Linked DNA regions of Oryzias latipes. The protein of the gene in region 1 interacts with the protein of each later gene in a pairwise test. Links are inferred from orthologs where the notes say so. Each region holds a gene or a part of one and is shown on either strand. Other genes may lie near its edges. The genes, in order: ctnnd1, zbtb33 and kctd6.

Region 1 (4,287 bases):
TTTTTTTTCTAAAACAAAGCTCAGCTCCTGGAAATCTGTTTTTTAAAAAACAAAATAATAAATTCATTGAGTTAGCATAATTCAAATGAAAGCTAAAGTAAAACATTAATTAGGAAGAAAAATCAAAAGCTTGCAGACAAAAAGTTTTTAATTGTACTACTTTTCTTTAATCAGATTCTTTTATAATTGGACTTCTCCACTTACATAAGGTACAAAATGAAAATAATAGACAAGAAAAACAACTTTTTTTGTTTGTTTTATGATTTTATTTAGCAAATCCCTAGTGAAAGACTTAAGTCTGTTCTGTTTTAAAACATTAGAGCTATAATTTCAATTACTTAGAATCATTGTTAAGAATCCCACAACCAGCATAGCTTCTTTGCTATTATGGATATCAATTAAGTCTTTAAAAGGTCTTTGTCAGATTTGACAAACTAGACTTTAAAACTATAAGCTTAATTGTGATTTAAAGATTAAAAGAAAATCGTGAATTGGTTCTAAATACGTATTTTTGGGGTTGAACTTTCTTTAAAACTTAACTGACACGCCTGTGTTCGTTGAAAGTGAAGCTTGCAACACCACATTTGTAAACTGCTGCCGCACATTCTTGATGAAAAATCTGTGACGCAAAAATACTGTAAGTTGTTGCTCATCTTTTTGAGTTTTGGTAAAGTAAATCAGCTGGGGATGGGTTTATTAACACTTCTACTGAATGACAACTGCTTGAAAAACACAGATTCCTGATTCAAACATTAGGCTACAAAACTTAGCTGCAAATCTTTAAACTTTAGATAAAAGTAAAGCTTCCCGTATAAGATAGATTCATATTTTCTGAATGACTAAGTTTTTAAAAATTAAAAACCTAATTTATTTGTTTAAATACTATGAGGTTCCGTTTGTGCCCAAAATATTTTATTGTTTTAATCACCATATATTCCAAGTGAGCAGTATTGTTGATTATATTTATGCCTTCTTCCTATTACAAAAGCACTTCGGGGGGAGCTCATACGGAAGCTGGGGGGAATTCCTGGCATTGTTCCTCTTTCCATGTTTGTATGTCCACGCTGATGCCTTGTTTTTCAAGTTCACATTTCTTTTTCTTCGATTTTTACCCCAAAATCTTGAAAATGAAAAAAGACCTTCACAGCCAATTCTAGACTGACATGTTAAAAAAAAAAAAAAAGCAAAAACAGTGCTTGAGCAATAAATAATTTGCCAAAACAAGGTATGTTACATTTTTGGTAAGAAATATAAATGTTAAGAAAATGTGAAGGATCTGATTAACCTTATTTTGGGGGAATTCATTCATGTAAAAAAGCTGAAGTACTCCCACCCACGTGAGACTATCTATTGCCCCTTGGCCATTCTTATTGAGCAATCACAGACGTGACATCGTGAAGGGAGGGACACGCGGAAGGTGATATTGCGACATAATTTAAATCCCCGGCAGACTAGAGGTGTAGCTCAGTTTGTCCATTAAAACTATTTATACAAAAAATAAAAACTGCGCAAAAAGCAGAACTCTGTGGTGTCTGTAACCACCAACCTGCTGGTTTTTTGTGGGAGCGCAGTGCTTTACGGTAAAGCTGCTTGTTGATCCCACCCTCCCTTTGATAGAAACTCGGTGATATCTCACCTCTTTAAGCTAGGAGACGGGAAGAGGCAGAAAACACCTAAAACTGGGTAGTCTGAGTGAGGTCGGGTGCAGGATTTCCTCAACCAGGTGAGCCAATTCTTGGATTTTTACCGATGATTTGTCGCGCGCGTGGATTTTCTTTGAAGATTGCCGGGACACTCTGCAGTTCTAAGGAGTGGTCATGTATTCCGACAGATCAGCACGAATCTTTTATGCTAATAAAAGCTAGCGCACAAGTTCAGACCCTGATTTGTTCCTTCGTCACCAGCCGTGCTCATTCCAAATATTATTAGGCCTTTGACGCCATCGTGTATACCGAGAGAAAAAGGTCCACGTTGCCCTGAAAATGTCGCGTTTTTGAACCCTTCATTGCTGTTTGATCATCTGTGTTTGCTTTGCTAGCGCTAGCCCCGCTGTCGGGAGCGTTTTCGTGGTAGTTTTATTGTGATGCTAACGACTCGGGACAGTCAAACCAGGTCAGACGGAGCTAGCTTCCAGCCCAACTGGGTTGATTTGATCCATTTTAGCCGAGCTCTTGCGTTAGCACCACCACCGAGGAACTCTCTTGCGACAGCCTTTGTTCGAAATGAGCTCTTTTATATCAAAGGTTCATGTCTGGTGTGCGCTTGAACTTGTTTTTCTAGCTAACTTTCCTCGCGGCTGGTGACCTATATTCCCGTCTTCTGCCTACTAATCATTCACAAGGCTGTGTGGGATGCCGTTAGACGAAGGAAATGCTAACTAGTTGTAGCATTTTCCAAGCGGTGTTTGGGATACACGGACTGGTAAAATGACCTCACCCAGCAGCAGCTAGCTAGTCTCTGGGAGCGTTTCTATGTACTGGTACACGATTATTAAGTACGATAAGTACGTTTATTCTACTAATTTAGTGTTTCTTTTTTTCTCTTTTTTTAAATATATTTTTGGGTGTTTGCGCAGCCGACTTTACTTCAGTATTTGAAGTACATGTTTTGTGAAAAGTGTGCGGGTGCCTGTGTGTGTGTGTGTGTGTGTGTGTGTGTGTGTTTGTTGTATGTACGTAACATCCAGGCTCAATACTTTTGTGTATTTAATTCCACCGTCAGCGCGGTGGTCTCTCATTTGTGGTCTGCTAGTCTGGGATTATGGCTTTGTCAGACGGAACCTGTTGGGTGGGTCATGTGTAAACTTGTTTTGTTGGGAAAATGCTTGGGTGGGGACAACTGTCAGCTTCAGCCTGAACTAACAGACTGGCGTTTTCCTTCGTAAACACCGACTACACGCAGGCTTATAATTCCTCGCGTCGATAGGCCTTCCTTTGGCTTTAGTGGCGTCTGGTGGATGTTTAAAGAGGATGTGTTTGAACTATAGGTGTGACCGGTTCAGGTTTGTGGTGGAGGGGATCCTGGTAACACCACATGTCGGCTGTTCTGGAGGATCTGTGCTCTCTAGCCATTGTTTGGATGTTGACAAATGATCCCACCACCCACTGTAATTTGGTCTGCTTTTTCACACACTTCAGGTTTTTTAATAGACACACTTCAGGTTTTTTAATAGACTCAAACAAGTGGATGTAGGTCCATTTATTTCTATTTTTTTTTTATAAAGCATCCTTGTTAAAGACCCACACAATCATCTTTTGATCTATTGTAAAAGCATTCCCAGTGGTCTTTTAATTATGATTAATGCTTTTTTTAGCTAAAATCAAAAACCCTGTGTAATTTTCTATGACATAGTTTCTGCAGATCGGCAGGAGTTCATTCGAAATTCACCTCTGAGTTGTGGGCAGGATTGCCCACCTCCTGTCATCCACCTGTTTGCACTGTCTGCCGCTAGCTCACAGACCCAACCTAACATTACCGGTGCAGCAAAAATAGGGATCAATATTGGAGCTATCCAGCCGTACAGTTTTGAGACGGATGGCAGCTTGTATGAGGAAAACGAAGACATTCATGGATCTAGTCGTCTACGAGTGGATGCACCAGAATGGAGCAGAGCAGGGAGTTTGTTGCTTACCGTTGTAGGTGCTACATCACACCCATAAGCATGTTTTTTTCAATGGCATATTTTTGGTCTGCTCCGGATTCATCACGATTTGATAAAAAAAATACAAATAGTACGTGCAATTTTCCACTTAATTTTCTTTATATATGTCCTCTACAGGACAAAAATGCAACAAGAACATGTTCAAAACACCACAAACAGCACTTCCATTGGTGTGGATTTTTAAAATCTATTTTAAAGTGTTAGAAGGTAAATTAATTAGTGGGGTAAGTCCTCAGTACAACCAACACTCTGCTTTGGTATCAAATAATCTTAACATCAAACTACACTATTAACTAGCTGGAAATATGTGAATACCTGGCCAACATCGAACATGTTTTTTTCTGTCTGTCGCTCTGTTAGGCAGAGTTTAATTAAGCCTACAAAGGATTTATTGTTGGTTTGTTCTGATGATCAGAGTGAGTGAGTCATGCTGACTGATGGCTGCTGAATCAGATGGGCTTGTGATGTGACTTGTGGCGAGTCAGAGTTCAGTCAGATGTTGCTGACCGCAGAAGACTCGTCCCTTTGAACTGCCATTGGGTTTTGGAGTCTTTCACTGTGGGGGTTTTCTAATTATGTTACTTTTAAAATACACTGCCATTTTCTATTTATTGTTTTAAGAAACT
Region 2 (4,076 bases), about 4.4 Mb from region 1:
TTCACAGCTTAAGATCTGACCTACATCTGTTAACATTAATAATTACAACATAAAATGTTTTTTGGTGTTTTAAAGATGAAAATTCACAGAAGTTTAGTATTTGGCTCCAAATGTTGATAACTTAATGTGTCACTACCTGGCAATGAAAGCTTCTTGTCTTTGTCTCTGGATGTCATCCCTCTGCTGCTCGTAATAGTAATCGTCTCTGAAGCTGCCGTGTTTTCCTGGAGGCTCCCGCTGCTCGAACCCATGGCTGTGGTGGTTGTTGGTGTGACGCTCCCTGGACCGGGATCTGGAGCGGCTACGACCGGGGCTTCCGATCCGAATCCTTCTGATGTTTCTCGCCTCCCTTAATCGATGCTCTCGTTCCTCGCGTTCACGCTCTCTGTTACGTGGTTTGGGGAGTTTGGGCCCGAAGCTGTACGGCGACAGACTCCTGTCGCGGCTGTCGCCACGGTTTCGGCTGCGGGAGCGAGTCCGGGGTCTGCGAGCCCGAGGACTACGACGAGGCTCCCCGCCACCGTCTGAGCTTGAGCGATCCGAAAGAGGCATGGCCTCTGGCGGCCTACTATTTAGTTTTGAACAAAATAAACGCCCAAAGACAAAAATTCAAACAAAAAGGTTTGTGTTCTACCGTTGTTTTTCACCTACGCAACGAAGGATGGAAGTGTCCGTTCAGTAAATGATCACGGGTCCTCCCAACACCAACGAAGAATAGTTCCGCTAACACAGAAAATGCATGTTTAGGATATATTTTAAATGATCATACTGCAAACAAAGTTTCTTTAACAAAAAATCTTAATACACTGCTGCGATTAAAGTTATGGCGAGTCTTCGTAGAATTGTTAAATTTCTATTTTATTTTCAAAATTTTAAATAGAAAATGAATATGATATGTGAGGAGATTATGTGTCAATGCTAACATTTAAAGCTAAATACCCAAATAGCTGTTAAGGACAAAAAAGACATGTATAATAACAATAAGTCAACTCCATTTTGATTGTTTGTGTTTCTAAAAACATACTTTATTACAAATGACTTGGAACAGACGTGCTTAAACAGGCCACTTGCAAACGAGTTATTTTAAATATTTCCATCATTTTTATTATATTCTACCACATTATAGTATAGCGATGAAGAAGAACGATGCTTGAGTTGCCTTTCGTGTTTACAGTACGTTGTATGGGTAAACGCTGCATTTTGAGCCTCTTCACTTGCCGTAGAAAACGAGATTCTGCCACCGGTGAGACGGCGGATGGGGGGGGGCTCAATTCTCAGAGGAAGCAGAGTTGGACACGACATCCTCTGTTTATCCTGTCAAGTTCCTCAATTCACTAGTTGGCACCCGTCAGGATTAGTCCTGGCATTAGAAAAGTTGCAGGTAAATATGACATTTGGGCGATGCTTTGAAAGGATGTTTCAGTGGGTTTTATCAATATTTTTTAATTGTAGCTGCTGCATAAACTGAGATGCTAAAAAGAAGCTAAAGAGCAGGCCGCGCTTCCTCCAGCTAAGGAGACAGCGTTACCTTTGTTAGCCGGCTAACAACGAAGTCAGCTGACCACAGCGTTGACATTAAATAGCAGGAACACCTCTTTTCCCCCAGCAAACGTGGTTGTAATTAACAACAGTCTCACGTCACGCGAGTTTTAAGCTCATCACATTTAGAGACCAACGTTTAGCAAAGCTAAGATAAGGAAATATGTCTGATCAAAGGAACGCAACTGTCGAGGTTGAACTTGATAGATGCAAAAACATGCTTAATCACTGTTCTGTTATTAAAATAATATATTTATTGACTGTGTAAATACATGTTTACACCTGATTGGGAACAGCTTTATAATAGAAATATTAAGTTCATACTTTTCTTATGATTGGTTTCTTTCTTTCTTTTTTTGCATTGTAATGACCCTTTATAACACTGAATGAATGAACATGATATGTTAAACAATTTGCCTCAAACAAATTGATCTGGTTGGATCGTAGGAACAGAAATCGATACATTAAGTTGAGTTGCACAAAAGCCCCCCCCCCCCCCCCCCCATGAGAGGTCAATGGCATGAATCCAAACATGATCATGTTTTTAGGGTGTTTTTGTTATGATTTCACATAAAAATGAATCCACTGGAGGCAAAATTAGGAAAAGAGTGCTTTTTTCTGTCAATCTGCTCCCCCTTTAGTAAATCTGTCTTTATTTTTTGTTTTTCTCAGCAGGTTTATTTTTGACTTTCCAGTTGGTTCAGACTACAGGTGACTGACTGAAACCCCTCTTCTCATGGGGGAAACAACAGAAACAACTCCCTTATTGTGATTGAAAAGAAAACATTTAATAGACGGTGTGAAAACGGCAAAATCAGAGAGCAAAGACTGATTAGAAATCAATTCAGGATTTCCTTAGAAAAAAAACAGTTGTTTTAATCAGATGTTTTCATTATGTTGTGACTTTCTCTCTGTTTGCATTTAACGTAACATCATTTTTTTTTATTAAACACATAGAGTTCTTCGTGGTGAAATAATGGAATCATTTGGTTGGTAGATTTTTTCATCTACCAGCCAACTTGTGTGGTGAGTCAGAAATGAGATTTTGGTCACTGTGGTTGTGACTTCAAACTTAGAGCATCAAACCAAGCACAGCAAATGCCATTTCAAGGCTGTTGCTACCAAAAATGTTGTAGTATTTCTCATTATGAGATGATCAAGCTAGCGGTAGCTCACAAAACATCAGCTGCATTGATCTGCAAACATTCTTACAGCTTGTATTTAGTTTTGTTGGAGCCAATTTCCAAAAGAGATGTTCAAATAAAGTACTTTTTATTAAATATATTCCATCATTTCAAGTTTTGGTTAAAGAAAGTAAAAGGAGAGAGATAAAAAATAAAAAATCGGATTTGTAATGAAAAAAGATGAGATTTTTTTATGCCCATATCTCACTGTGACGCAAAGGCGATGGAGACTGGCCCACCCTGCTGCCCCAGTAAAGCAGTTTGGGTGGAGCCAAAGCTTTAGCTTAAAAGGCTGTTGATCTGTATTGGAGGCTGAATGTTTATCGACATAAATTCACATATTTATAATATGACATATAATTATACCTCCTTATTTTTTACAATTATTTTTTAATTTGATCCTTTTTTCTTTTATGATTACAATGCCACTGTAACGCACAAATTTCCCACGTGTGGGATCAATAAAGTACCTCTGATTCTGATATTTAGGGCTTAATGTAGTAGGGAAATATTCAAATGATAATGTAATATTTTATTGATAAAAGAAATACTTTTTTTTGCTAAAAGTTTGAAATCTTTTAACACATTTTCTGTTGTTGATGTTGTCTTGCTTCATGGTATTTAAATGCTAAAATACAGAGTTTGAGCATCGAAACCAAAAATCAAGCGAAATATTTCTGAATCTTTTGTCATTTCTTTTTTCCGACTTTGCTGTTTGCAGACATGCCAAGTCTAAAGCTGATATCTGCGACCGACACTCTGTACTCGGCTGCTATACTCAAGTCCCTGGATGAGCAAAGAAGCATTGGATTGTTTTGCGATGTCACCATCATCGTACAGGATAAGAAGTTCAGAGCGCACAAAACCATCCTTTCCGCCTCTAGTACTTATTTCCACCAGCTCTTCAGTGTCGCCGGACAAGTGATTGAGCTGAATTTTATACGGCCGGAAATCTTTGAGCAGATCCTCAACTACATTTACAGTTCCAGGATTGTACGTGTTCGTTCAGACATGCTGGAAGAGCTCATACAGGCTGGACAGGTCCTGGGAGTGAAGTTTATTGCAAATTTGGGTTCTCCGTTGTCCCAAGTCAAAGGCATTCCTGGTTTGTCGAAAGAGACGGACGCCAAAAACGACGGGTGCAATGAGGTTCTGCCGGTAATCACAGAGTCTTTCTCTATTTCTTCAGAGGAATTCAATCAAAATGAAAAAAAAGCAGGGAAGGAGGAGGACTCCGACTGTGATGTTGTGTTTGTCTCACGCACAGACGCTCAAACCCGAGCAGCTGGCGGTGAAGTTAGCGAGGTTATTGATTTGGACAAATTAGACGTAGAAAATGCATCCAAAGTGGAC
Region 3 (4,049 bases), on another chromosome or scaffold:
GGAGCACAGCAATTACTCACTGAGCATCCCACTGATCCCGACCACACCGGAGGAGATGGAGGACATGTTCAGACTCTGCTCCCACGTTCGTTTTAGAATTCCTCAACAGGTCAAGTCCACACCTGTAACACAAGTTTCCCTTTGTGTACTATAGACACCAAAAATGGACAATCTACGGGGAAATAAAATCACAAAAATGTTTGCTACATTTAATGGATACTTTAACCTTATTTTTTTATTGTTTAGATTCTTCAAGGATTGGTAGACGTCAGACTGCCTCACAACACGTTTTATGAAGAAGGTGGGATTTGTTGTAAAAAAAATAATTATTACTTTTTTACTAAAATAACATGAAAATAAAAACTTTTTTTCATTTCTGCAGTATTTATGGAGATTGTTAGTGAGAACTCAAGATATGCTTTGCAAGAGCACCTGCATCTCATAAATGCCCCTCTACAAGTGATTTGGGGTAAACAAGATCAGGTAAATATCATGTTCCAATAATAACTTTGTTTGGTTCAATTTAGGTGAGTGTTGTGATGATTTATTTATATATTACTCATTATATATTCATTAAGGTGTACCAATATGTAACATAGAAATGTCAGTTTAAGACAACAGTTGACTTTATTTGTAATGAAATGCCAAAAGAGATTGCCTTTTGGTCCAGGTGGTGGATGTCTCCGGGGCAAGCGTTATTGCAGAGCTGTTGCCTGGCTGCAGGGTAGACCTGCTGGATAACTGTGGTCACTCCGTGGTTATGGAGAAGCCTTGTCGGACAGCCAGACTCATCCTGGAGTTCATTATCTTGCAGCAGAATGCCAGAGGTGGTACCAAGAAATCGTCCTGAATAGAAGATTAAGGGAACAGATCAAATATGTAGCCTATGTGAGGAAGAAGCACAGAAGTAGAGAAAAATATGAAAAATGATTTATTTGTTTTGTGTCTCCAATTTGACTAATAAAGTTGGATTAGATATGATGTGTGGTCTTTTGTTTACCAAAACTTGATCAATCTGCTTTTATGCTGACAATTCAAAAGATATCTGCTTTGAATCTGTAATAGCCCATGTCTACATTTTTATTTTACATTTTATTTTATATTTTCATTTATTTAGGCATTCGCCGTTTTTTATTTTTTTGGTCAATGTTTAAATTTACATAGAAAAATCATCAGTCCTTTATTGTGCCACCATAATGTATTGAGGTGTTTCCCCGCTTTGTTTGGTCATTTTGACGCGTAAAGCGCATGGGTTGGACTTGGAGGAGGAATCCTTGCGCTCCTGATCCCATGCTTGGTAGGCCTGTGAATCTGTGAAGTGCCCTGTCCATGGATGCGTGGATGAAGCAGAGGAGGCTGTAGCTGCAGCAGGACCTCCTCCCTCCTGCTTTCTCCCCCCGTCAGTGTGCGCAGTTCCGCTGCAGCCTGAAGCAGAGTGCAGCTGCCCGGTGAGACAGACCGCAGGCAAGGATCCTATCAGTGGTCATTTGATCCACCGTTACTGGAGAACAGCGGGGGAGTCTTTCTTAGGAGCCATTCAGGAAGGAAAAAAAAAGGCGCTAAAGCTGGTGAGTCTTTGCTTTATTGTCTACCTGGTTGGTTGATTTGTAAACCATCATGAACCTCAGTAGAGACCGCAGCTAACGTTCTTGGATTGCTAGCTGCTAGCATGCTAGTTAAAAGAAAAACCTAGCTGCTAGCTTTCACACTTACACGTATGTTTGATGTCTCAACGTTAGTATTCACGGTTTATTTCACTTTTTTTCTTCAGAATTGTACTTAATGTAAGCTTACAGAGAAGCACACTATTACCTCTAACTAAAAGCTTGTGTTATTTCTTCTGCCGGCTTCTCTCATTTATTTATGCCTGCGCTGCAGTCAATTACACAGTCACTTCGATAATGCCAAATAACCAGGAGTCAAGATTGGCTTTTGTTTTTCAGAAAACAAATAGTTAACTCTCTGTCACTTTAGTCATATATTTAATGCTTTGATTTTGGAGGATTCTATCCATTTTATTTAGAAATGACCAAAACATATGGGAACCTTTATCCTAACTGTAACACGACACTTCTCTTCTTTTTACTGTAGTTTTGTCCGATTAGGATTAGGTTAATGGTTTTCCTGTTTCTTGCTTATCTTGTCTTTTGCAATTTTTTTCATTCTGGCCTAATGATCCCTAGACTAAATCTGGCATGTTTTACATCAGTATTTGTTGTTATTAATACGTATAATAAACTAATGCAGTAAAATATTACTTGGGTTTTGTATATTTATTTTTGTTTTTAAAGCTTTAACACCCCCCCCCCCCCCCCCCCACACACACACACACAAACACATTAAGCAAAATCAAGCTCACTGGGACATTATTAAAGACCCACTCCAATGAAAAATGCACCTTTAACATGTCCTTTTGGCATCTTTCTGATGATGAAGGGGATATTTAAAGAAAATTAAGCTTAAAATTGCATTTCTGAGTATTTCTTTAATCAAATTTTGGGGAATCAGGAGCAGAAAAAAAACGCATTTTGAAAAAGATCATATTTGTGACAAAGAAAACACAATCGGCCGGCCATAAGCTCCCTGCTCCGCTCCATTCTGATGCATCCACTTGCAGACCATAGACCCATTTACGTCTTGTTTTCCTCGTCTCAGCTGGCATCTGGCTCAAAAAACCTTTTCCAAAATGACACAGGTTTTTATTTGAATTTTCTTTTTTATTTAGGCTAAAAGCAGCATAATAATAATAATAAAAAAACACTAAGAATGCTTTAAAAAAAGATCAAGAGATGATAGGAGTGGAACTTTAATATTGTCTGATTATGTAAGTAGTTATTGCTACAGAAAGCATTACTTGAGTTTTAATGCAAACTTCTCTCCCATTCTGCTGACAAGTTTTCTTAGTGCCTCGTATTAATGTAATTATTTTTCTTGTGCTTGTTTTACTGGTCCAAATAAAGGGAGTCTGTCCTGATCAAGTTCTCTCCCTACTTTGGTTTCAACCTGGTAGAAATTCTACAAATGGATAATGGAGACTGGGGCCATAGGGTAAGACATAGTTGAAAGTCATAATCATTTTGCCTTTCAGTTCATTTGTTTAACCAGAACCGCGTCACAGAAGAACCAGTCTCAGCAAACTCTACAGAACTTCTCTTTGTATTGATTTCTCATTTCCTCTGTTGGGCATCAGATTTAAACATTTACATCCTCACCAACTGATCAGATATGTAGTTGTGTAGTTCTTTTTCATTTTCAGCAGCAGTGGCACATTTTAAAGATATTCATATTGGTCAGAGACATACCGATGGAAGTAAACAAATGCTAGGAATGAGTTATTTAATGCCAATTCCTTATATTCCCCTTATAACCATTTATGCTGCAACGCCGAAGCAACTCTGCAGAAGACCTTACATCAATACTAATTTGGCTGTTTCTCATTCACCTTCATTTGTTCTTGTGGTGGGGTAACCTAGGTTGTTGTTCCACACTGACAACAAACACCACAATGATAAATGAAGCTGACTTTCTGGACTTTCAATACTTTACATTTATTGAAAGTCAAGTCAGAAACTTGCATAGTTTGTGAAAGATATCATTTGGTGTTAATTTCAACATTGTTCATGGTTTTAGATGCATCTTAAACTGTGTACTTTTTACCAAGCTGTGAGTGTTTATAAGATTATCAATTGAATGAAACTATTCTTTCAGTTTGTGTGCCAAAAAGTAGTTGAGCAAACATTAGTTCCTCTCAGATGGAAATAATTTCTAATAAAACGTTTGCTTATACAACACTCCAGTGTGTGAGCTAACAAAACAAACTCTGCTATCCTCTCTAGATGACCACTCCTGTTACCTTGAATGTGGGAGGCCACTTATATACCACCAGTCTATCCACCCTGCAGCGTTATCCAGACTCCATGCTGGGAGCCATGTTTCGGGGGGATTTCCCTACAGCTCGGGACGCTCAGGGAAATTATTTCATTGATCGAGATGGGACACTTTTCAGGTACATCCTGAACTTCCTGAGGACATCTGAGCTTACACTGCCC

What was found.
Region 2: the proteins of ctnnd1 (region 1) and zbtb33 interact in binary tests that used the Homo sapiens proteins (3 or more experiments, as listed by UniProt). The link is inferred for Oryzias latipes from reciprocal best matches to the Homo sapiens genes CTNND1 and ZBTB33.
Region 3: the proteins of ctnnd1 (region 1) and kctd6 interact in binary tests that used the Homo sapiens proteins (3 or more experiments, as listed by UniProt). The two-hybrid records come from large-scale screens. The link is inferred for Oryzias latipes from reciprocal best matches to the Homo sapiens genes CTNND1 and KCTD6.

What each region holds. Positions count from the first base shown.
Region 1 is NC_019868.2:14,176,453-14,180,739, forward strand, and holds the start of ctnnd1 (catenin delta-1), read left to right. Parts: upstream 1-1,436; 5' UTR 1,437-1,580; exon of another isoform or gene 1,581-1,645; 5' UTR 1,646-1,723; intron 1,724-4,287. UniProt on the Homo sapiens protein: Key regulator of cell-cell adhesion that associates with and regulates the cell adhesion properties of both C-, E- and N-cadherins, being critical for their surface stability.
Region 2 is NC_019868.2:9,751,391-9,755,466, forward strand, and holds the start of zbtb33 (transcriptional regulator Kaiso), read left to right. Parts: upstream 1-1,241; 5' UTR 1,242-1,381; intron 1,382-3,444; 5' UTR 3,445-3,446; coding exon 3,447-4,076. Other genes in the region: nkap (NF-kappa-B-activating protein), read right to left, coding at 137-552. UniProt on the Homo sapiens protein: Transcriptional regulator with bimodal DNA-binding specificity.
Region 3 is NC_019865.2:16,433,828-16,437,876, forward strand, and holds the start of kctd6 (BTB/POZ domain-containing protein KCTD6), read left to right. Parts: upstream 1-1,234; 5' UTR 1,235-1,568; intron 1,569-2,960; 5' UTR 2,961-3,021; coding exon 3,022-3,048; intron 3,049-3,836; coding exon 3,837-4,049. Other genes in the region: monoacylglycerol lipase ABHD6-like, read left to right, coding at 1-109, 247-301, 383-483, 671-850. UniProt on the Homo sapiens protein: Probable substrate-specific adapter of a BCR (BTB-CUL3-RBX1) E3 ubiquitin-protein ligase complex mediating the ubiquitination and subsequent proteasomal degradation of target proteins.